Linked DNA regions of Diceros bicornis minor. The protein of the gene in region 3 interacts with the protein of the main gene of each other region in a pairwise test. Links are inferred from orthologs where the notes say so. Each region holds a gene or a part of one and is shown on either strand. Other genes may lie near its edges.

Region 1 (7,544 bases), on a different chromosome or scaffold from region 3:
CACTGCACAAGAAGAAAATGTGGGAGTAAACAGAGATGCAAATAAAAATATTTAAATTGGAAAACATAACTATAATTTTTTCACATGCATTTTTCAATGAACTAATCAGTCTCTTCAGCAGACTCCATCTACAATAAGACAACGCTGCGGCAAGGTAGCCACTGTGATAGAAGGTACCATGGGTACAAACCATATGAAGTTATTCCACCAACTGAATCTTTGCCGTTGGAAGAAGAGATAACAGGAATGCCACCATGGAGACGGGCAGCAAGATCTTTATACCCTTCATGTAGTAGAGCCTTGTAGAATGATATGTAGGAATAATTATCTTTTTTAAGTATCAGTTTAATTAACATAGCTGCTTTTTGTTGTCGAGTGGGCTGAAAAAAATAAATAAATAAAAAGCAGTTTAGTATACTACAAAGAATATGTTTGCAACATAAATTAGTGGAGACCAGCACAAGTTCTGAAATAAATTCTAAAAATTTTTAAGAAAGCACAGAGGGGCCAACCCAGTGGTGTAGTGGTTAAGTTCACATGCTCCACTTCGGCGGCCCAGGGTTCACAGGTTCGGATCCTGGGTGCGGACCTACACACCACTCATCAAGTCATGTTGTGGCAGCATCCCACATACAAAGTAGAGGAAGACTGGCATAGATGTTAGCTCAGCGACAATCTTCCTTAAGCAAAAAGAGGAAGATTAGAGGCCAGCCCAGTGGCGTAGTGGTTGAGTTTGTGCGTTCCGCTTCGGCAGCCTGGGATGCACCAGTTCGGATCTTGGGCATGGACCTGCTCACCACCCATCAAGCCATGCTGAGGCACCATCTCACATAGAAGAGCTACAACTCTACAAGCATGACATATAACTACATACTGGGGCTTTGGGGAGAAAAAGGAAAAAGAGGAAGATTGGCAACAGATGTTAGCTCAGGACCAATCTTCCTCAAAAAAAAAAAAAACAAGTAAAATGAATGTGCAAATTTGCACAATTTAACTTAAAAAAATTAAATTAAAAAAAAAAGAAAACATAGACTGCCTCAGAGGGCTTTACCTCATTTTTCACTTTTTCCTCCTCCGATACTGTTAAAACTCCATCACTAATCATGTGATCCATGATGTAGGAGGTTTTAATGTCCTTTTCCAGGGCTTCTCTATGTTGAAGCAAACAATTTCGAGCTTTTGCATCCATCCTCCTTTAAATTTTTCTCTCTCTGAGCTGTCAACCATGAGCTACAGGCAAAACATCAAAATATTTGTCAGGACAATAAAGATATGAAAAGACGTGTAACCTCACTGATAATCAAGAAATGTAGAGAAAATAAGATTTTTTTTTTGCAAAGATTTTTTTTAAATGGACAAAACAAAATGCTTTCAAAGATGTGAGAAAATAGGTATTTTTAGGCACTACTTGAGGAGAGTACTAAATGGATGCAACTTTTCTGGAAGGCCATATGATAAAATACAGAAGTGTTTAAAGTAAGCATTCTCTTTAACCCAGAAACCCCACTTCTAGGAATTTATCTCAAGGAGACATTCACATTTGTATGCAAAAATATGCACAAGAAGAGTTAACAGAGTGTGTTTAGGTGAGAAAAAAAGATGAAAACAACCTAAATGGCCATCATTCTAAGTATGGATTTAAAAAATTAGAGTATGTACATAAAATGGAATATTACACAGCCATTTAAAATGATAAGACACATCTCCATGTACTGACATGGAAAGACGCTATGAGACACTGCTGACAAAAAATTAGAAATAAGATCCCATATATAGCACAAAATATGTGTTGGTATCATATAAAACATAGGGAGATGTCTAGAAGTTTGTTCAAAAAAGGTTTGGGTTACTTCCAAGAGGCAAGATTTGGGTTTTTTTTCCCTCTTTCTTTTTTGTACTTTTCTACATTGTCTTAATTTTTTTCAATACACATCATCATTTTTACAATAAAAAAACTTCTTTTAAGTTAAGATTTTTAAACGGGGCCGGCTCCGTGGCTTAGCGGTTAAGTGAACGCGCTCTGATGCTGGCGGCCCGGGTTCGGATCCCGGGCACGCCCCCAGGCACCGCTCCGAACCGGGCACGCCCCCAGGCACCACTTCTCCGTCCAACCCGAGGCCGAGTCCCACGTACAACAACTAGAAGGATGTGAACCTATGACATACAACTATCTACTGGGGCTTTGGGGGGGAAAAAATGAATAAATAAAATCTTAAAAAAAAAAAAAGATTTTTAAACGGCGGCCATACTGAAGTCCTAATGCTTAGAAACTTCTTGTTTTCTTTATCCAATATAAGACTAAATAGAGCATTGTTGGTATTGAGCATTAGTTCTCGCTCAAGGTGGGTGTCAGTGCTAGGTCTTCAGTGGTAAACACATTTCTCACATGCTCACTCCGCTAATGTTTCAGCTGAGCTGCTAAGTATGACAAAGCAACAGAAAATACCCTCTGATGTCATTTCTTGAACAAAGAGGACACAAAGAAAGAACAATATTCTTTATAGTATAATACGCTAAGCTTCTACCAACTTTATCTCAAAAATATAGTGCAAATTTTTCCATTGGTATAAAACGTAGATCAGAATGTTTGCAAGTTTTAGAAATATTAACAGAACTCTATCCAATGTATTATAGTGAGTGTCTAAATGTGTTTATTAATTTATTCATTCAGGGACCAGCCCGGTGGCATAGTGGTTAAGTTCAAACCCCCCGCTTTGGCAGCCCGGGGTTCGCAGGTTAGGATCCCGGGCGCGCACCAACGCACCACTTGTCAAGCCATGCTGTGGCGGCGTCCCATATAAAGTAGAGGAAGATGGGCACGGATGTTAGCCCAGGCCCATCTTCCTCAGCAAAAAGAGGAGGATTCGCATCAGATGTTAGCTCAGGGCTAACCTTCCTCACACACAAAAAAAATTTATTCATTCAATAAACATTTGAGCCCCTCCTACATGCCAGGCCCTGAGTCTATAGAGAAGATTAAATCATATCCCTGAAGGAATTCACAATCTAGTGGGAGAGAAATATAAAGAGATAATCAGAATGTGATGTCCTAAGTGAAAAAATAGAGATAACCACAAGTAATTTTAGATTGCACAGAAGAGGAGCAATAATCATTAAGCTTCAATGATAACTATATATTTTTTAAGTGCCACCAAGGCACTTGAAAACATAGGGAAGTAGAGCATTTGCCTATGCTTATCAAGGTTCACAAAACGCCCAGTACTGGCATGATACTGATTGATAAAAGAAAAATTTATGATTAGAATCAAAGCTATCGTACTTTTTAAATGTTAATAACGTTTTTATGCTCTCAATTTAAACATAAAACATCCCTTAATTTTTAATAACACTCGATTTGACAAAACAAAAATGAATTTTGTAGTCTATGTCCAATAGCTAAGAAAATAGACATTTTGACAATCTGAAACTAATTTCCAACTTGACCTAGCCCTATTAAAAATACGTAAATTTTCAGCACGTTTTTAAACTCTGCACAAATATTCTGAACAAATTCTCAGTGTCCCACCTTTCGCAAGCACACCAAAATGGGAAGTCAAAACTCTTCATTGTAAAATGGAAAGGAAGGGCAATTTCATCCGGGAAAACCGTAATAGTTTAGACTACTTCCTCCTTAGATAATTTCTCTTCCTGGTACAGGAGTAGGATGGTTATCAATTACACTTTGTCCCAGAATTGAGTCCCTGAAATCGGCTATTGAACCTCTGAAGCAACCAGCTCGGGGAGAAAAGCAAGGCGCAAACTTACCCAAACCTCCGCACCAGGGTCTTACTGGCAAGAGCAGCCCTTCGGAGACAGACTGAGAAACCAAGGTTGGGGAGGAAAAGGCATCGGGCCTTCCGAAAGAGAATACAGGGCTCGGGGCGCAGCCCCGGGACAAATCCGGGCCTCACAGGGGCTGCACCCGGGCCTCCGCCGTCCCGGGCGCCTGAAGACCCCCGGAGACCTCCGGCCGGTGGAGGTAGGCGTCACCTCCCTGGGCTGACCACACACTCCCGGCGCGCCGAGATGCGGCCCGGCCCGAGGGCTGCCTTCTCGGCGGACCCCACCCCCGACACAAAGAGAGGAGGGCCACTCGGCTTGTCGCTCCTTCACTCCGGCCGCAGCTGCACCCCGGCCAGTCGGGACGCTGCCGCGGCGACTTCCAAGTCCTCGCGGTGTGCTGTCGGCCCAGACTTCCTCACCGCCTGCTCCCTCCCTCCTTCGGCCCAGGAATAGAGCACCCGCGTCCACTTAATACCGTCGCCTCTCCGTCTCAGAACCGCGGAGCAGTCAAACCCCGCCGGGCCCGCCCAGCCCGGACAGCGCGCGCCCGCGCATGCAAATAAATACACGCCGAGCCACTCCGGGCGGCCGCCGCCGCGCGCGCACCCGCTCCGGCTTGTGCCCGCGCGCGCACAGGGAGCGCCCTCCGCCCCACCCCACAGCCGGGGGCGTGGCTAAGCCACAAGGGCGCGCGGCGGTCTGAGGGAGGGAGGGCCTCGGCGGCGGCGCGCTCGACGTGGCGCGGGCCCGCCCCGCCCCGCCCCCTCGCGTCCCGGCGGCCCGCACGCGCCCGGGAGCTACGATTTCCTCAGGTTTGCTAGGTGAGCGCAGAGAAAGCGGGGGGTGGGGTCTGCGCCTGCCTCAGCTGGAGGAACTGGAAGGCGGGTGGCTGGGGTGCGCTGTGAAGCAGTGAAGATGGCCGGGAGAGGGAGGGCACTGGCACTGGTTTCCGGGCGGCGCCAAGTCCGAGAGGGGGCGCGGTCACCGCCGAGGCTTCCCTCGGAGCTCAGGCGGCCACGTCCCGCTCCCCCAGGGTGAAGAGGCCGCCCGGGTTTGTCGTCCTCAGGACCTCCAGACATGTCCGAGGTGAAGAGCCGGAAGAAGTCGGGACCCAAGGGAGCCCCCGCGGAGCCCGGGAAGCGGAGCGAGGGCGGGAGGAGCCCCGAGGCCCGAGGTGGTGGAGGCGGGGGCTGGGCGGACCCCCGGACCGGCCTGAGCCTGCTGTCGCTGGGGACGTGCCTGGCCCTGGCCTGGTAAGTGTCCGGCCTCCGGTGGTCGCCCGCCCTTCGGGGTCCAGTCCCTGTCGTGGCCCCACCCGACTCGGCATCCCGTAACCTTCAACCCCGAGACTTGTGACTTTGGTTCATCTGCCGCCACCCCAGAGAAGGGACAGCCAGCCCAACTTTTTTTTTTTTTCCGTTATCTCATTTCTTGTAACTCATTTTTCCCTTGTACTAGTATCGTGCCGCGATCGCTCAACTGGAATTGAGGCTAAGGTTTGGGGAGGAGTCAGCCATTAAGAGATGCGGATTCGGCCAAACTTTATTAAGCGCCAACTACACGTCGGGAGCTTTCGCGTTTTTATAACCCGTTACTTCCTGTCCGCTGTGCATCTGTCCGGGACAGATTTGCCCCACCCCACCCCGTAAATGCCTAATGGAAACGTTTGCAACCTTCAAAGAATTCATTATGATTTCAGAGCAACAAACGTTTGTGATAATATCAAAGTTGGGAGGATCAGTGTGCATGCGTTATGAATTTAAAGTCTCTTCCTAAATTACAGACTGAATTTTAGTACTGTAACGCTACAAAAGTATATAGCACTTGGGTTCACCTAAAACTAAACATTTATAGTTTTTAAACCAAGCAAATAGCGATATTTTGGGGTCATAGGACAAATGAATATTAGAAATAACCTTAAAACCAACTTATTCATTTTGTTTTCCCCAATCGTTTTCTTTAGGAATAACCTATTTCATTTTAATAACAAGACTGATGCTTTAAATTAGAATTCTCCATTTTTTTTTTTACCTGTTTTTAAAGTATTTAGAAGATAGTTATTTGTCTTCAAGAGTAATGGTATTCCAGAAGGAACCCTGGACATCTTCTAGTCTGCAACATTTTTGATGCTAGTAAATTCTTTTTTTTTTTTTTTTTATTTTTCCCCCAAAGCCCCAGTAGATAGTTGTATGTCATAGCTGCACATCCTTCTAGTTGCTGTATGTGGGACGCGGCCTCAGCATGGCCGGAGAAGCAGTGCGTTGGTGAGCACCCGGATCTGAACCCAGGCCACCGGCAGCGGAGCTCGGGCACTTAACCACTAAGGCACGGGCTGGCCCAGATGTTAGTAAATTCTGAATTATACTTTACTGCTGACTTATCCTGAGTCGAAGTTAATAAAAGATTTGCCACAATGAACTGAAAAGTTGATTTAAATATCCTCTTCAAAAAAGATAAATTGTTTATTTTAGTAATATGGTATTTTTGTTTATGGGATGTTTTTATTTTGATCTTAAAAAAATAAATGCACTGGATTTACTGTTTTAAAAATAAACTGCTCTGGGCCAGCCCCGTGGCTTAGCCGTTAAGTGCGCGTGCTCCGCTACTGGTCGCCCGGGTTTGGTCCCGGGCGCGCACCGAGGCACCGCTTCTCTGGCCATGCTGAGGCCACGTCCCACATACAGCAACTAGAAGGACGTGCAGCTATGACATACAACTATCTACTGGGGCTTTGGGGGAAGAAAAAAGGAGGAGGATTGGCAATAGATGTTAGCTCAGAGCCGGTCTTCCTCAGCAAAAAGAGGAGAATTAGCATGGATGTTAGCTCAGGGCTGATCTTCCTCACAAAAATAAAAATAAACTGCTCTTATGTCTTAAAATGCATGACCTTCTTTAGGTAAATAAAAAACCCATTTTGTATTGAAAAAGTTTCCCGTAATAGAACTTAGTAGGCTAAAAGACATATGTTGCTTCTCTCTGGAGCCTAATACAACTGGTTTTAGTTACTAAATTTACTAATTCTAATTAATTATCCAAAGATACATATTCATGTGAGGTAAATTACATCACAAAATGTTCAGCTTTTCAATGATTTAGTTACTGCCATGGGAAAACACACTAATAGGAATCTATAAAGGAAAAAAACTTGAAAAGTAGAGCTTCAACTCAGGAATTTACTGTTAGTGCCTACAATAAAGACACAAACAAGTTACATTCATTAAGAAGATTTTATTTGAACTGTCTCCAAAATAATAAAACAATATTTAGTCAAAGATTATTTTTATGGGGCTGGCCCCGTGGCTTAGTGGTTAAGTGCGCAGGCTCCGCTGCTGGCGGCCCCGGTTCTGATCCTGGGCGCCCACTGCTTCTCCCACCATGCTAAGGCCGCGTCCCACATACAGCAACTAGAAGGATGTGTAGCTATGACATATAACTATCTACTGGGGCTTTGGGGGGAAAAAATAAATAAATAAAATCTTTAAAAAAAAAAAAAAGATTATTTCTAAAATGGACAGATTGTATGATTGTTATTAAAATAGTTGCCTGTTAATTGTTCTTGTGAAATCTTTTGCCGTAAGAGTCGAAGTGTAAATACTTTGGTTGCTGTTTATAGCAAATATTTACTCATGGTAAATTTGGGAATAAAAAATTATTCTGGTAAGACATTTGCAAGCATTTTCCAAATAAAAACCAAATACTTGGCATCTGAAAATATTTAAAAGCACACTAAAATTGTAACAAAGCCATTGAGGTCTTTACCA
Region 2 (8,002 bases), on a different chromosome or scaffold from region 3:
TTCCTGCCTTAGAGTGGACTTTGTCTGGTGTTAAGGTCGCACACCTGCTTTCCTTTGGTTCCTGTTTTTTTTGTGTGTGAGGAGATCAGCCCTGTGCTAACATCTGCCAATCCTCCTGTTTTTTTTTTTTTTTTTTTTTTTTGCTGAGGAAGACTGGCCCTGGACTAACATCTGTGCCCATTTTCCTCCACTTTATATGGGACACCGCCACAGCATGGCTTGCCAAGCAGTGCATCAGTGCGCGCCCGGGATCCGAACCGGCGAACCCCGGGCTGCTGCAGCGGAGCGCACGCACTTAACGGCTTGCGCCACCGGGCTGGCCCCTGGTTCCTGTTTTAAATGCTCCACCCTTTATCTTCCACCTTTCTGTATCCTCATGTTGTACATGTGTCTCCTATAAGCAGCATCGAGTTGAGTTTTGCTCTTTGGTCTAGTCTGCCCATCTTTGTCTTTTTTCTTTTTAAACGAAGGAGGAAATTTTTTTTTTTTTTTTAGGAACATTGGCCCTGAGCTAACATATGTTGCCAATCTTCCTCCGTTTTTCCTTTTGTCTCCCCAAAGCCCCAGTAGATAGTTGTAGTTGTACATCCTTCTAGTTGCTCCATGTGGGACGCCGCCTCAGCATGGCTTGATGAGCAGTGTGCAGGTCCGCGCCCAGGATCTGAACCTGCAAACCCTGGGTCACCAAAGTGGGGCACGCAAACTTAAACGCTACGCCACCGGGCCAGACCCCCATCTTTGTCTTTTAATTGGTGCATTTGGTGTATTTTACATTTAATGTAATTATGGACCTATTTGGACTTAAAATATGCCATCTTGTGTGTTTTTTTCTCTGTCCTACCTGCTCTATGCTCTTCTCTCTGCTTTCTTGCTTTCTTTAGGACTGGGTGCATGTGTTTTGGTAAGGTTATCCTTATATTGCAGATGGGGAAACTGAGGCACAGAGAAGGTAATTACCTTGTTCAAGGTCACAGTGATGAAGGGCAGTATGGGTTAGGTATCTTCCATTACCGAGCTTTTATTCCAGCCAAGGAGCTGGATATTGCACAAAGAATGATGCAGTTAAGTATCTAATTTGCAGCTGTGATGAGTGTTATGTAGGAAAAAGAAGTGGCAAAAAAATTGAAAAGAAAGGCTTCCAGTCCCCAGACTTAGGCCTTCCCCAGACCAGTGGCCCCATCACTGAGCTGACTGAGTGTTCCCATCACTTCCAACCCTCTCCCTTGAACACACAAAGGAGGGAAATATTTTCTTGTCTCCACTCCACTGTGCACAAAACATCTGAGGCCAGCCAAGTCCCTTTTGGCCCGATGTGCAACCCCCACCCCTTCCAGGACCCTTGTAAATGTTTCCTGGCCTCCAACAGAGCCCAAGGGACCCATCAAAAAGCTTGATTTCTCCAGCTTGGGCCTCTTCTGCTGCAGCCTGCAGACAGAGCTGTGGTTCCACTTTTCCCAGCAGCCTCCGCCCCGGCTCCTCGCTCAGCAGTGGCTGCCGCCTGGCTTACTGAGCTCCACAATTTTTACAAAGATAGAGTCCATGATATGTGCTTTCCCACCATCCTGTCTTTGCTCCTGTGATTCCCTCAGTCCTGAATGGTTGTCAGCACCTAGAAAACTCCTAATCCTACCTCAAAACCCCATCCAGGGGCCAGCCTGGTGACGCAAGCAGTTAAGTGCATGTGCTCCGCTGTGGCAGCCCCGGGTTCACCGGTTCGGATCCCGGGCGCACACCAACACACTGCTTGTTAAGCCATGCTGTGGCGGCGTCCCATGTAAAGTAGAGGAAGACGGGCACGGATGTTAGTCCAAAGCCAGTCTTCCTCAGCAAAACAAAGGAGGATTGGCATCGGATGTTAGCTCAGGGCTGGTCTTCTTCACACACACACAAAAAAACCATCCAGATGTACCTGATTCCTTGTCCCCAAAACGAGTCCTCATACCCCATTCTTCAGGTTCCTTCAGTCTTGAGTCTCTCCTCCCTCTAGCCCAGCACTGTTCCCCTAGGGATGGGAGTGTCTGTGTCAGACTCTGTCTCCATCCTCCAGGGCTAGGCATGAATTGAGTACTCTCTGGATGCCCAGAATATGGGCCACTCCTAGAAAGGGTGGCTAGAGAGTTTACTGAACAATTTTTAAAACTGTTTGTTGAACTGACTATATAAGAATCCTGGTCTTCATTAACTTTTCAATGAATGAAGGCAGCAGAGTGTGGCAGTAATAATACAGTCTACCCTCGGTTTACCGAGGGCTTACAGTGGGCCAAGACTTGTTGTAAGGAATTAACCTGCATGATTTCATAAGGTTAAACCACTTGCCCAAGGCCACCCAGCTAGGATGTGACAGAACTGGAATCAGAACTCACATATGTCCAATTCCAGGACTCTTAAAGAGTCTTCCATGTGCCTAAGAGCATGTGTGCATCTCCCAAGCTCTCAATATCTCCCAAGCTCTCAACGACCTTAAAAGGCAGATGCTGTGATCACCCAGTTAACAAACTGAGACCCAGAAAAATTAGACATACAATATATAACATATACACATCATAAGACCTCAACAACTGGGGCCGGCCCGGTGGCGCAAGCGGTTAAGTGCACGCGTTCCGCTGCGGCGGCCCAGGGTTCGCCGGTTTGGATCCCAGGCACGCACCAACGCACTGCTTGTTAAGCCATGCTGTGGCGGCGTCCCATATACAGTAGAAGAAGATGGGCATGGATGTTAGCCCAGGGCCAGTCTTCCTCAGCAAAAAAGAAGAGGATTGGCAGATGTTAGCTCAGGGCTGATCTCCTCACACAAAAATAAATAAATAAATAAAAAGACCTCAATAACTAATGGTAATTAATTAACATTTATTGAGCAATTACTATTTGCCCCATTTTGTTCTTGCATTTAACTTGGATTACTTCACTTAAAAATGCATCCTCATATCAGTATGAACTCACAGTTTTCAGTTTATATACAAGGAGACAGATATAGAAGTAAATATAAATGTGTGTGCATGGGTTAGCAGGCATACATGTATTTGCTAACTCTGACTGCTGAGAGGGTCTCTAAGCAATGATAGCCCAGTGGCAGTGAGCATGGCCAGCACCCAGATCTTGGTTTCTTTTATTTATTTATTTATTTTAAAGATTTTATTTATTTATTTTCCCCCCAAAGCCCCAGTAGATAGTTGTATGTCATAGTTGCACAGCCTTCTAGTTGCTGTATGTGGGACGCGGCCCCAGCATGGCCGGAGAAGCGGTGCGTCTGTGCGCGCCCGGGATCCGAACCCGGGCCGCCAGCAGCGGAGCGCGTGCACTTAACCGCTAAGCCACGGGGCTGGCCCGAGATCTTGGTTTCTAAATCCTATTCTCCAAGAAAAGGTACCAGGCTCTTTGGAGAAATGGCTGACTCCAGAGATATTCCAAAGCAAGCATGGAACATCTTGTGGTGCCAAAAGTAAGGAAGTGCTCAGAGAAAGGTGCAGACATATTAAAATGACATAGGGGCTAACTTAAAGAGGCAGAAAAATAAATAATATAGAAATTGGGCCAGCCCTGGTGGCCTAGTGGTGAAGTTCGGCAGGCTCTGCTTCAGTGGCCCAAGTTCAGTTCCTGGGTGTGGACCTACATCACTCGTCTGTCAGTGGCCGTGCTGTGGCAGTGGCTCACATACAAAAAGAGGAAGATTGGCAGTGGATGTTACCAGCAAAAAAAAAAAAAAAAAGGAAAAAAGAAAAGAAGTTAACTATAATCCACAGAATAAAATAAATATTCATAAGTTCATAGTGATACAAATACTTGAATAAATCCATAATTGGAGAATGGACAGCTCTTGTTTACAGTAGAATTCCAATTAATAATTAAATTAATAAACAGAAAATCACCAGAAAAAAATAAATTAAAAAAAAAATTAAAAAAGGGCCGGCCCCGTGGCTTAGCGGTTGGGTGCACGTGCTCCGCTGCTGGCAGCCCGGGGTTTGGATCCCAGGCGCGCACCGACGGACCGCTTCTCTGGCCATGCTGAGGCCGCGTCCCACATACAGCAACTAGAAGGATGTGCAGCAGTGACATACAACTATCTACTGGGGCTTTGGGGGGAAAAAATAAATTAAAAAAAAATTATAAAAAAAAAATCACCATTATGCAAACACGATAGTAATCATTGTTGCTGGCAAGAGCCACAGATGGATGCTAAAACTAGTGGGTGAAAAATATGTTTAAAAAAACCCCCAAAACTAGGGTATTTGTATGGGCTCTTAAGTATCTCTCCACAAGATACCTATTAATTATAAAAGGGAAAATAGTAACTGGACAGTTGAGAAACTGGCAGACACTGCCTTAAGCAAGTAATCAAAGTCAACATCACCAATAACGAGACACATCAACATCCCGTGCTTCCTGATACCATGCATGGAGGACACAACATCGCTTCTGTGGGATTCCTGCCCAAACTGCTCAACTTCAGTCTAATCATGAGGAAACACTGGATAAACCCATATTGATGAGTATTCTACAAAACCAGTACTCTTCAAAAGCATTAAGGTCATGAAAATTTAGGAAAGACTGAGGAACTGTCACAGAGTGGAAGAGACTACGGAGACACGACTAAATGCAACGTGGGATCCTGGATGGGATCCTGGACTAGAAAAAGGTCACCAAAAGCGACGCAGGGATTTTTGAACCCAGATGAATCTGATTCCCAGCCTGGAAAGCAAGACACCTGGGTCTGGGTCGACCGCAGGCCACTGAAGCATTATATGACCTTGCGGAAGCGCCTGCCGCTCTCGGACCTCAGTTTGACCATGTATAAAACAGGACGTCTCCCAGCCTCCACCACCCACTTCCGGACTGCCAGGGAGCCCGGGCTTAGGAAACTACGCAGGCGCGAGAGGGACTGCTCGATTGGCTATTTGTTGTGGCGCACACGGGAACAGGAGTTGCGTCTAAGCCCCACCCCTTCCTGCCGCGCCTCCACGCACGCCAGTCGGCCCCGGGTACGTCTCCGCCACCCGCGCTCGCACGCATGGTGCGTGGTGACGTCGCGGAGGCTCGGGCGCCATCCCGGAAGCGCGAGCAAGGCCGCCAGATGTGCAGGTGCCGCTGCCACCGACGCTGGTGCCGAGTTCGGGGTGGGGCTGGGGCCGCCGAGGCCGCTGGGGAGCCGGGCCGGGCCGGGTCGGGTGTAGTCCCCGGGCTGTTGTGGGGTGGGGCGCGCCGCTGGCCACATCTGGGCACCCCTCCTGCGCACAGGTCTCGGTTTCCCTGTCTGCGCAGTGGACGCGCGGGCGGAGCCGCGGGCCGGATCCGGGGCACGGGAGTTTGGGCCGCTTGTGTTCAGGCTGTGCTGTGTTGTTACCCGGAACCGGGCGTTGGTCTGCTTGGGCCTGTTTCCCCACTTTGCAGGGGCGGGGCGTGAGGGGATATGCGAGCCCCTCCGCGCTCGTTTTGCTGAGCTTGTGCCACCAAGTTAAATTCTGTTAAGGACTTGGGTGGAATGGCGGCGCCTCTCCGCCTTGCCATGTGACCTTGGGCAGCTGAGTCCACCTCTGTGAGCCTTAGCTGCCTTCGGAGATGATAGTGTCTGCCTCATAGGGAGGGTTGGGGATTAAATGAAGTGCTATTCAAGTGTTTGCTCATATTCTTGGAAGCACCGGGGAAGCCCTTGTTAAAATGTTGATTCCTGGGGCTGGCCCGGTGGCGCAGGCGGTTGGGTGCGCGCGGTTCGGATCCCGGGCGAGCACCAACGCAGGGCTTGTCAAGCCATGCTGTGCTGGCGTCCCATATAAAGTGGAGGAAGATGAGCTGGGATGTTAGCTCAGGGCCAGTCTGCCTCAGCCAAAAGAGGAGGATTGGCAGATGTTAGCTCAGGGCTGATCTTCCTCAAAAATAAAGCTGATTCCTGAGCCCCGCCCTAGGACTTCTTCCCACTCCCTTTGAAGAAACAGCCCAGATCCTTATCACAATTGGCTTCAGTCCCCACAGATAGCGCTGTGAAGTGCTGATTCTTTGTTATTCCCATTTTCTGGGTGAGAAAACCGATTCAGGGAGGTGAGGTGATTCTTCCAAGGTCACACAGCCTCCCTGTCTGTGTGTTTCCCTCATAAAGGTATTTGGAGCAGGAGCCAGAGCCCTTGCTGGGTCATTTCCACCCTGTGTGTGGGCCAGACTAGCTGTTAGTCAGGGAAGGCTTCCTGAGGGAGACAGCTAGGGTAGTGGGGAGTGTGCCCTGAATCCTTCAGCCCTCATATCTGGCAGCTGGAGATGAGAAAGAGCTGTACTTTGCAGCAGAATGGTTTCCCACTGGTCCAGAACCCTGAACCTGTCAGGCTCTGGCTGTGGGTCCTGCCACATGACTGCCCTTTGAGCGCAAGTGTCCTGTTTATACATGATCATGCTTCTTCAAAAATCGGAGACTGTGAGTGTCCAGACCTGGCACATAGTGGGAGCTCAATAAACATGGCGATAATTGGATGAGGAGAGTTTCACCAGGTATGGCAGCTTATTTCTAGAAGGCATGTAGGGGCTGCAAATCGCTAGCCAGATTCAGGGCTCAAATAGATAACACTTGACTACATGGTGTTTGGGGGGGAAAAAATATTGGTTGCTGACATTTGTAAATGAGGCGATTTCACAGGAAAAAAAACCCGTATTTCTGTTTTTTGCCTGGAAAAAATCAGAAGTCTGGCAGGAATCAGCTGCTTAGAGCAGCAGCTGTCCCGTCATGGGTGGATAATGAACACCTGTTCAGATTCACACCTCTGTGGATCCTGCAGAGCATGGGCATGTGAATTGTGACTCAGGTTCTCTGGCTGTGTGACAGTGGCCCCGTTCCTCAGTCCCTGAGCCTCAGTGTTCTCATATATAAACAAGGATGATAACAGTTCCTGGTGTATGACGTTAGTGCCTTGTAAAGAGGAGGGTGGATCAAGTGAGCTCTGAAAGACCTTGCTAATCCTGTGTGTGAATTCTCACCAGTCACAAGTGGGCCTTTCTGTCAGCCATTAAATGTGTGGACGCCAGAATCAAACTATGTCAGGATTCTGGGTTTCTCCTGAACCCTCCCCCCAACCAGGAGGGTCAGTGCTGAAGCTGTGGCCCCTCCTGCCCTGGCATGGTCAAGGAAGCCCCCACCCACCAGAATGGTCACCTGGGTGCCGGGGACCTGGGGCCCGCAGCCTGGCTCTGAGTGCCTGAAATTCTTGGCTTTAATTTGCTAATAAAAGTCTAGCATCAGGGCTGAGTTTGAAAGGTTCTGTCAGCCTCCGCCAAAGTTCTGGCCATCCCTTGCTATGAGCCACGTTCTGGAGCAGAGCAGCAAGGGAGAGAGACAAGTCTCTGCTCTCTTGGAGCTGACACTGCTGTGGGGATGACAGGCAAACAGATCAACTGACAACTGAGATAATTTCAGGAAGAGGTGTGGCAGTGAAGCAGTTAAAACAAGGCAGAGTGATAAGAGTGACCAGAGTTGGGGTATCATCAAAGACCTCGGGGTATCATCAAAGACCTCGGGAGAGAAGACATTGGAGGTGCTGATGATTTGAGGGGGCAGCCATGCATGTGCTACCGGTGGGGACAGCAGGTGCAAAGGCCCTGTGGTGGGAGTGGGCCAAGGCAGGGGGATGTGGGAGGTGGCTGGCAGATCTATGCAGGTGGAAATTTCCCCTGGCCTCGGGCACATGGAGAGTGGGAGCCATGGAGGTGGGAGGGACTAAGGGGTTCTCATGTGCTGGGGTGCAAGTTATAAGTATGGTCTCCTGTAGTTCTCAGAACACCCCCGAATTCCCAGGTGACAAAGCTGAGGCTCAGGTGGCGTGACCGACTCATGTTCAAACAGCCTTTGCGGTTCCCAGCCCCTCCTCTCTGTCCCAACTCCTGGTGCCTGGTGCAGACTGAAGACTCTTTCTTCTTGCCTGTTTCAGGCAGCGGAGGAGGAGGAAGAGATGGACACCCCGGACTCGGCCTCAAGGGTCTTCTGCAGCCGCATCCTGAGCATGGTGAACGTGGACGATGTCAACGCCAT
Region 3 (7,108 bases):
GATAGTTTGCTGACTACTAAGCTTTGAGAAAACCTTTCTTCCTGCTTCCACCTTAACCAGGCCTAACAGATTTTTGCCTCCTGCCCACAACCTTCCTCTCCTATTTCTTGTTCTCCTACATATCTCTGAGGGTACTTATTGACTTGTTGGGAAAGCTAATAAGGGGGAGAGAAGTTGAGTGCATTTTTTTACCCACACATTACATATTTAAATGGTTTTTGTGGATTCCTATATAAATATGAGAAGCTTCTTTCAAATGAATATACTGAATAGACTCTGTCTAGGTGGAGGATGACGCTGCGTGTGTGTGTGTGTGTGTGTGTATGTGTGTAAAACAGCTTAGGACAGACAGAATCATCCCCAGGAAGTTCCTTTATCTTCCCAATGATATTGATATATTGTCTGGAGCCTCTATGTCATTCTTTGTCTCCCAAGATCTCAGGTTAGACTGGTTAGTTCTTTTCGTTGCTCCTGCAAACACCTCCTGAAGTCCACATAACTACTGTTTCAACCTAAGGACTTTCCCAGAGAGTTGTTACCCAACATCTCATAATACTGTTATTAACATGACATTGTTCCAGTTTGTGAAAACTTCTATCTCGATGCCTGTTTATTGGAACCAGAGAGCTCTATCCGCCTATACCTGGAATCTAAGTTAGGCAACTCCAGCAGGCCATCAGGCACTTGCCCAAAGCCCTGGGGGTAACCTGTGTTTTTTGCAGTTTTTCAAGAAGGAAGAATTAGTAGTTTGCAGTGGCCTAAACTTTTGGAAACTATGAATATATATAATGTGTATGATCCACTTTATGTCTCTGACCTCTGGCATGATATACTCAACAACCCTCACCACTTCCTGGGGCCACAGATAATGGGGGAAAGCCAAAAAGAAGATCAGAAACCTAACAGCAAAGAGGCCAAATGTGAGAATCCAAAAACATTTGTGAACGACCCACGTTGTCTCTCTAGCTATTTTCCAAAACCAAATGCTATTTTAAAAAATACATGCTCCACTTTTCCTATTAACTCAGTGCTGAGAACTGAATCTATTTCCATCAATACCAGGACATTCTTTTGTTGCTATTAAGATTCCTATGTTACTTTTCTTCCAAAAGTCTTTCCTATGTGGTCTCTCATTCATCTTTGTGATAAACTTCAAGGTTGAAGATGAAGGAAAGTAGGTGATTATTGGATAGCTTGAAGAAGAAAAGAGAATTTCATTTTTTTTTGGTGAGGAAGACCAGCCCTGAGCTAACATCCGATGCCAATCCTTCTCTTGTTGCTGAGGAAGATTGGCCCTAAGCTAACATCCATGACCATCTTCCTCTACTTTATATGGGACGCTGCGACAGCATGGCTTGACAAGCGGTACGTCAGTGCATGCCCAGGATCCAAACCTGCGAACCCCAGGCCGCGCGAACTTAACCGCTGTGCCACCAGGCCGGCCCCGAGAATTTCATTTTCAAATGGGAAAATTCAGCCCTAGAGAAGCTGAGTAATTTCGTCAAGGTCACAGGGTAAGGTCTGGTGGTGATACCTTTACCCTCTAAGATTTCTTCTTATTTCTGTTATAGTCTATCATTCTAAGATCCTCTCTGCTGCCCTATGAGCAGTGCTTACTATGACATCTCTGTGGCATAAGGGCAGATGCCCACATTGGCCAAGACAAATAAACCCATGTAGGGCCAGCGTCAATGTGACCTCCTTTGTCCCATTGTGAAATCTGAGCTGACTTTGCTGGGGAGTTGAGAGATGAGAGTTTCTCTATTAATACACATATCTACGTGCCAAGCCTTGAAAGCTAAGAATGTGGCATGGGGGAGGAGGTGGGATAGATAAGTGATAGCAATCTGGATTTAGAGTCCCCTCCCTTTGTTCAGGTCCTGGGAAAGATAATTAAATTCCTGGGTTGGGAATGAGACAAAAATCAGAATTCTCCATGTCTTTAAAAAAGAAATTTATGCCATTACAAGGGTATGCCAACATGTGGTTATATGCAAAAATGTATAGGGGCATCTATGTCTGTGTTCTATGAATTTACTTTGTATATGTCCAAGTGTCTTTGGAATTTAGTCATAATAACATGAACATCTGTGTGTGTAGATTAACCCCACCCACCATCTTTCCAATACTCACATCAGCTGCCTTCTTCTCTGCCAGCTCCAGCTTCTCCTGGGCATCCTTCAAAGCTTCAGAATACTTGTCCAGCTCATCTTCTGTCCCTTTCAGCTTCTTCTGCATGGCTGCCAGCTCATCTTCCAGCTATAGGAGCCCCAAGAATCACACACAAAACATACTGTACACAACAGTGCAGGCTCAGACCCTGGGCTCTTAAGACAGACCCCTGAGCCCAACCTTTATGTTACCATCCCCCAGAGAGACATACCTTCTCCCCAGTCACTTCTAGCCAACTGCTCCAGGAGTTATGCTATGTCCTTGGCCTGTGACTCTTTGATATCTGACCCTAAGATGATGACCAAGCCATGCTGGGTTTTCATCTAAGACCCTGGGATGGTAAATATCTCAGGGTGTAGATGCCTGTTACTCCATTTAAGGAAAAAGAGATGTTGCATATCAAGCTCCCACCTTTTCTTCTAGAAATCAGGGATTCTTCCAAAACATGATCCACTCCCACTTAAATCTAGCAGACACTCTGTAGCTCAGAAGGGGCCCTTGACTTTCCAAAGGTCACACAGGCAGTCTGAGGCAGATACACTAGATGTCCTCTGCCCATCCAGTGAGGCTGGGGAAGAAGCAGAGTCCCTCCCACCCAAAGAACAAGCTGGCACCAGTGGTCACTGCCTTTTTGCGTGCAAACCCTCTTTCATCTCACAGTCGTGTTCACCAGCGGCTAAGAGAGACCAACGCCAGGGCCTACCTGTTTACTTCTTTCTTCTGCCTGCTTCTGCTCAGCTTCAGCTTGCTCTGCCCGATCCAGAGCATTCTCCTTGTCCAACTTCAGCATCTGCATCTTTTTCTTGATGGCCTCCATCGTGAGCAGTGGCCGTTGGTGGGCTCACCTGTGAACACTGGAGAACTGGAGACTAGGGCAAGAAAGGAGGGGCTGCTGGCAGAGTGTCTAGGAGTTCCCCAGACTTGAGCCTTTATCTCTGCTCATGGCTCCACCTCTTGTTCCTAATATGGTCTTTCCACCTCCCTCCACCCCATCATTGTTCTCCTGGGGGAATACAGGGTGAGCCACTCCGATGGACTGACATCACCAGCAAAAAAAAAAAAATGGGGGAACAGCTGAGGCTGATTTTAGACAATGGAAAGTGGGGGAGGGGAGAGGCTTTCCCTGACCCTGAAACTTTCCACTTACTCTGGGCAGCTCTATGGGTGTTTTTAAAAAGCAGGGAGAGGGGAGGGGAGAATATTGAAATAGAGAAGGGTACTTTGGCAACTCTAGAATGGTAGTTTTCACTCAGCGGATCCTAGTTGCCCTTCAGCTTCCCCCTTACTCTCACCCGGACTGTGTTGGATGCTGATCAAACTCCACTGGTTGAGTTTTACCTTTTGATTCCTGGTATTCAGGGAGCTTGAGGGACAGTGAGGAGGGGAGGTCACTCATGATCCTTGACAATTCCCCCAGATCTCCAGATCAAATTACTGTGCTATTTTGAGAGTCTCTAATTGGCAGAGAGACATCATTCCTCCCCCTTAAGAGCCACAGGGATGGAGTAAGAGGGTAGGGTTGGGATCTGGAAGGCCATCCCAGAGCTTCAAGAGGGGTGGGGAGAGAAGCAGGGGAGGGTCAGAGTAATCTAGATAGGATCATGTCCTCTGTTTCCCATAGTGATCTTTAAAGAGAACTTCTATATCCACATAGACCAAGGTGTTGCTGTCTTCTCGTCTCCCCACCCTCTGCTCCCTTCTTACCCCCAACCCCCCCACGCTCATCATCATAATCATCATTACCAGCTCTATTCTCCCCTGCTTAGTTCTAGGCCATGTTCATTCTTCTACTTGGGGCCTCATTACTGACAAGTGGCAGTTGATCCCAGTACACTGGCACCATACAATCTGAGAATATGCCAGAGGAGAGGTGGGCACTATTCAAGGTGACCAGAGCTATCAAGGAAGAATATAAATGGATCTAATTAGTCATTATGTCAAGGATAGATGGGTAGTGTTAATACTAAGCCCCAGCAATGGGGTAGCTGAGACACCCACCAGGGCAGAGGGCAAAACTGAAGTCCACTGTTGAGAGCTTCCAGTCACTAGAGGTAGATAGGCAGATACGCCATCAGCTGACTCTTTAAGGAAAGCAGAGAAACCAAAGCCCCCTACTGTGGGACTAGGAACAAGGAAGTCCCAGGGACAGGAAGCAGTGGATAATGGGGGGGGGGGTTTGAATAAGGAGGAGAAAAATACAAGGACAGGAGAAAATCAGAGATATATTCCTTCTAGCATAAGGGAAAGATATAGGAAGATTTGATACTCAAATTCCAGCACTCTCCTGCTCCCACACTAGTCCTCCAGTTTAAGACTGAAATCCTCGTAGGTTGCAGCCACTAGTGTTCCAAAGGGGTCCTGGAAAGAAGAGGTTCAGTAAAAAAGACAGGAGCCCCAGAGCCCTGGAGGTTGAAGTAGTAAAGAGTGTGATGCCAAAGTGCCCACTGCTGTAAGAATATGTTTGACATTTAGTTGGTTCCTAATTAAACAACCCAATATCAAACATATCACACAGAAGCAGGCAGGAGAGCTGTGGTGGTCACCTGCCTTCCCCCCACTGCAAAGAAAGGACAAAGCAGAAACACCAGGCACCAAGCATGGCTAGATGGAGAGCCATCTCCCTGGGGAAGGGCACCAAACCCTGCTCTTTGCCTCCCAAGACAGCTGGCTTTTACTCATCTGCCCTTCGTGCCGTCCCTGTCTCAGCTCCTCTCCTACCAGTGCCTGGCCTTTGCTGGATCACGTTGGCTTAAACCAGGGAGAATATCTGGCAGGGCTTCATGTCCGGGCACCTATCCTTCTTTAAAGCTCCTACACAGAGCTTCTCCCCCTGATGTCACGGCCCCAGCGCCCAGAGGATCAGCAGTGTCAGCAGCTCCTCGTCAGCCTAGCCACCTGCTCTCAACTCCCTTCCAGCTGCCCTGAGGCTTTCTGGGGGTGGGGGTGGGGGGCTTGTCCTCCTGCTTTACCTTTCCAACAGAACTCCTAAGCTTTCCATATCACCCCCACAAGACTGCTGACGGCTTTTCAGTGACACCATCCTGGAACCCTCCTGCTCTTGAGTACTACAGATAAGTAGCCACAAGAAACTTGCAGAATGCTTGGCTGCTGCTTCCCACCATCTTGTCCCTTCTCACCTTCTTCCCATGTCCTCCAGTCATCCTCCTTAAAGTCACCCTTGGATGTCCAGAAGAGAAGAGTGACATGTCTCACTGGCACGCTCCAGAGAAGAAGACTTATGGTCTCCCCTGCCTGGCAGAATTGAAACTAAGACTTGAGGAGATCAAGGGTGAGGGAGGAAACCCCCTGTGCCAGAGAGCAGCCTGCTGTCCTTAGGACTCTCCTCTTCTGGGGCTTTTTACGGCAAGAACTCCTGGGTTGGCTTCTCTAAGAGTCTTCCCTCACAGGGATCCAGCCTGGTTCCTTTCTGAGGGATTTTTCTTCCAAAGAGAATCCGGTTTGTTGAATGTCTTGTGGCAGGCAGATGCTTCTCTCTACTGTGGCAGAAAGGACCCCGGGTTATAGCTGCACTGGTGGGGTGGAGGGCTTGGGTGGAAGTGTGGGGGTGGGAGGAGAATGCTCTGCTTCAGCCCCCAGGCCTGTTCCATGTGTCCTTGTTCCCATTAGTCCAGACACCACCCGCCCCCCCCCACACACACACAAACACATATACCAGCTCCACAGTGCCCTTGATCTAGATCGATAGCTTGTCCCAAGCCTCAGTCAATTCTTGTTGTTTGGCTCTTGCCTTCCAGGGGAAGACTAACAAATGGGCATACAAGCCCCCAAAGTAGGCACCTGTGGTGTTGTCTTATGTCCTTGTTCCTTTATGGCTCTCAATGGGAGTTTGTGTGTAATTTTTACTTTCTTGACCGTCCCTCTTACTTTTACCCCCCAAGTTCTAGTTCCCTTCTCTGGGAACCTTGACTACCTTGGAGAACCAGAGGCTGGAGGGAAAGAGGCTGAGAAAGGGACTAGCAGGAATTGAAAGGACTTTAGTGTTTTTTTTTTTTTTTTTTATAATTTTATTTATTTATTTTCCCCCCAAAGCCCCAGTAGATAGTTGTATGTCACAGCTGCACATCCTTCTAGTTGCTGTATGTGGGACACGGCCTCAGCATGGCTGGAGAAGCGGTGCGTCGGTGCGCACCCGGGATCTGAACCCGGGCCACCAGCAGCAGAGCTCGAGTACTTAACCGCTAAGCCACGGGGCCGGCCCTTAAGGACTTTAGTGTTTAGGGCACTAGGGGAACAGAGGAAGAGACTGGGAATATTGATGTAGGGAGGAGCAGCTTTCTTAGAAGGACACTTTGGATGGCATAACTAGGCAGAAACATCAGATAACCTCTGATGAAAGCTTTCTGGCTATTCTGGAAATACCTTCTATACAGCCATTTCAAACAAGACTAAGCCCTTCTGAGCCAGAGGAGCTGGAGAAGGCACCAGCCACAGAGGGAAAGGGGCTAGATGGGTGTAATAGGGTGAACTACTCAGTTGATGTGATGAGAGCAGACAGAGTAGGCAGAGAGGATCAGAGGACATGGGCTCTGTAGGGGGCCAGTCTGCCAATATTGGAGTCAGCCTGGCACTGACAAGCCCTGGGGACAGAGGCCAAGGTCAGGGATCAAGGCAGAGGGGGTGGGGTGTTCTGTGGGTCCAAGTGAACAGAGGAAAGAGGAATCAAAGGAGTTGGTGAGGGAGTGTGGTGAGAGGTGGGGGGCAGCCATGTAATGGAGAGGAAATAAAAAGGGAAAAAACTATTATAGGGCAGGAAAACATCATTTGGGTTACCATTTATTGGGCATTATGTGCCACCTCTCTGCTAAGTGCTTTACTTAATCCCCACAGCAAGACAGTGAGGTAGGCATTATCTCCATTTTACATATAAGGAACTGTGATCCAGAAAGTTAAAGTAACTTGCTCAAGGCCACACAGA

What was found. The genes of interacting proteins can lie anywhere in the genome.
Region 1: the proteins of TPM3 (region 3) and IKBIP interact in a two-hybrid assay, tested with the Homo sapiens proteins (2 studies listed by BioGRID). The two-hybrid records come from large-scale screens. The link is inferred for Diceros bicornis minor from reciprocal best matches to the Homo sapiens genes TPM3 and IKBIP.
Region 2: the proteins of TPM3 (region 3) and KXD1 interact in binary tests that used the Homo sapiens proteins (3 or more experiments, as listed by UniProt). The two-hybrid records come from large-scale screens. The link is inferred for Diceros bicornis minor from reciprocal best matches to the Homo sapiens genes TPM3 and KXD1.

What each region holds. Positions count from the first base shown.
Region 1 is NC_080764.1:24,197,650-24,205,193, forward strand, and holds the start of IKBIP (inhibitor of nuclear factor kappa-B kinase-interacting protein), read left to right. Parts: upstream 1-4,525; 5' UTR 4,526-4,604; intron 4,605-4,772; exon of another isoform or gene 4,773-4,849; 5' UTR 4,850-4,860; coding exon 4,861-5,036; intron 5,037-7,544. Other genes in the region: APAF1 (apoptotic protease-activating factor 1), read right to left, coding at 191-380, 1,052-1,189. UniProt on the Homo sapiens protein: Target of p53/TP53 with pro-apoptotic function.
Region 2 is NC_080759.1:6,173,708-6,181,709, forward strand, and holds the start of KXD1 (kxDL motif-containing protein 1), read left to right. Parts: upstream 1-4,983; 5' UTR 4,984-5,076; exon of another isoform or gene 5,077-5,111; intron 5,112-5,226; exon of another isoform or gene 5,227-6,471; intron 6,472-7,901; 5' UTR 7,902-7,922; coding exon 7,923-8,002.
Region 3 is NC_080743.1:58,274,204-58,281,311, forward strand, and holds the start of TPM3 (tropomyosin alpha-3 chain), read right to left. Parts: upstream 3,005-7,108; 5' UTR 2,990-3,004; coding exon 2,876-2,989; intron 2,260-2,875; coding exon 2,134-2,259; intron 1-2,133. UniProt on the Homo sapiens protein: Binds to actin filaments in muscle and non-muscle cells. Plays a central role, in association with the troponin complex, in the calcium dependent regulation of vertebrate striated muscle contraction.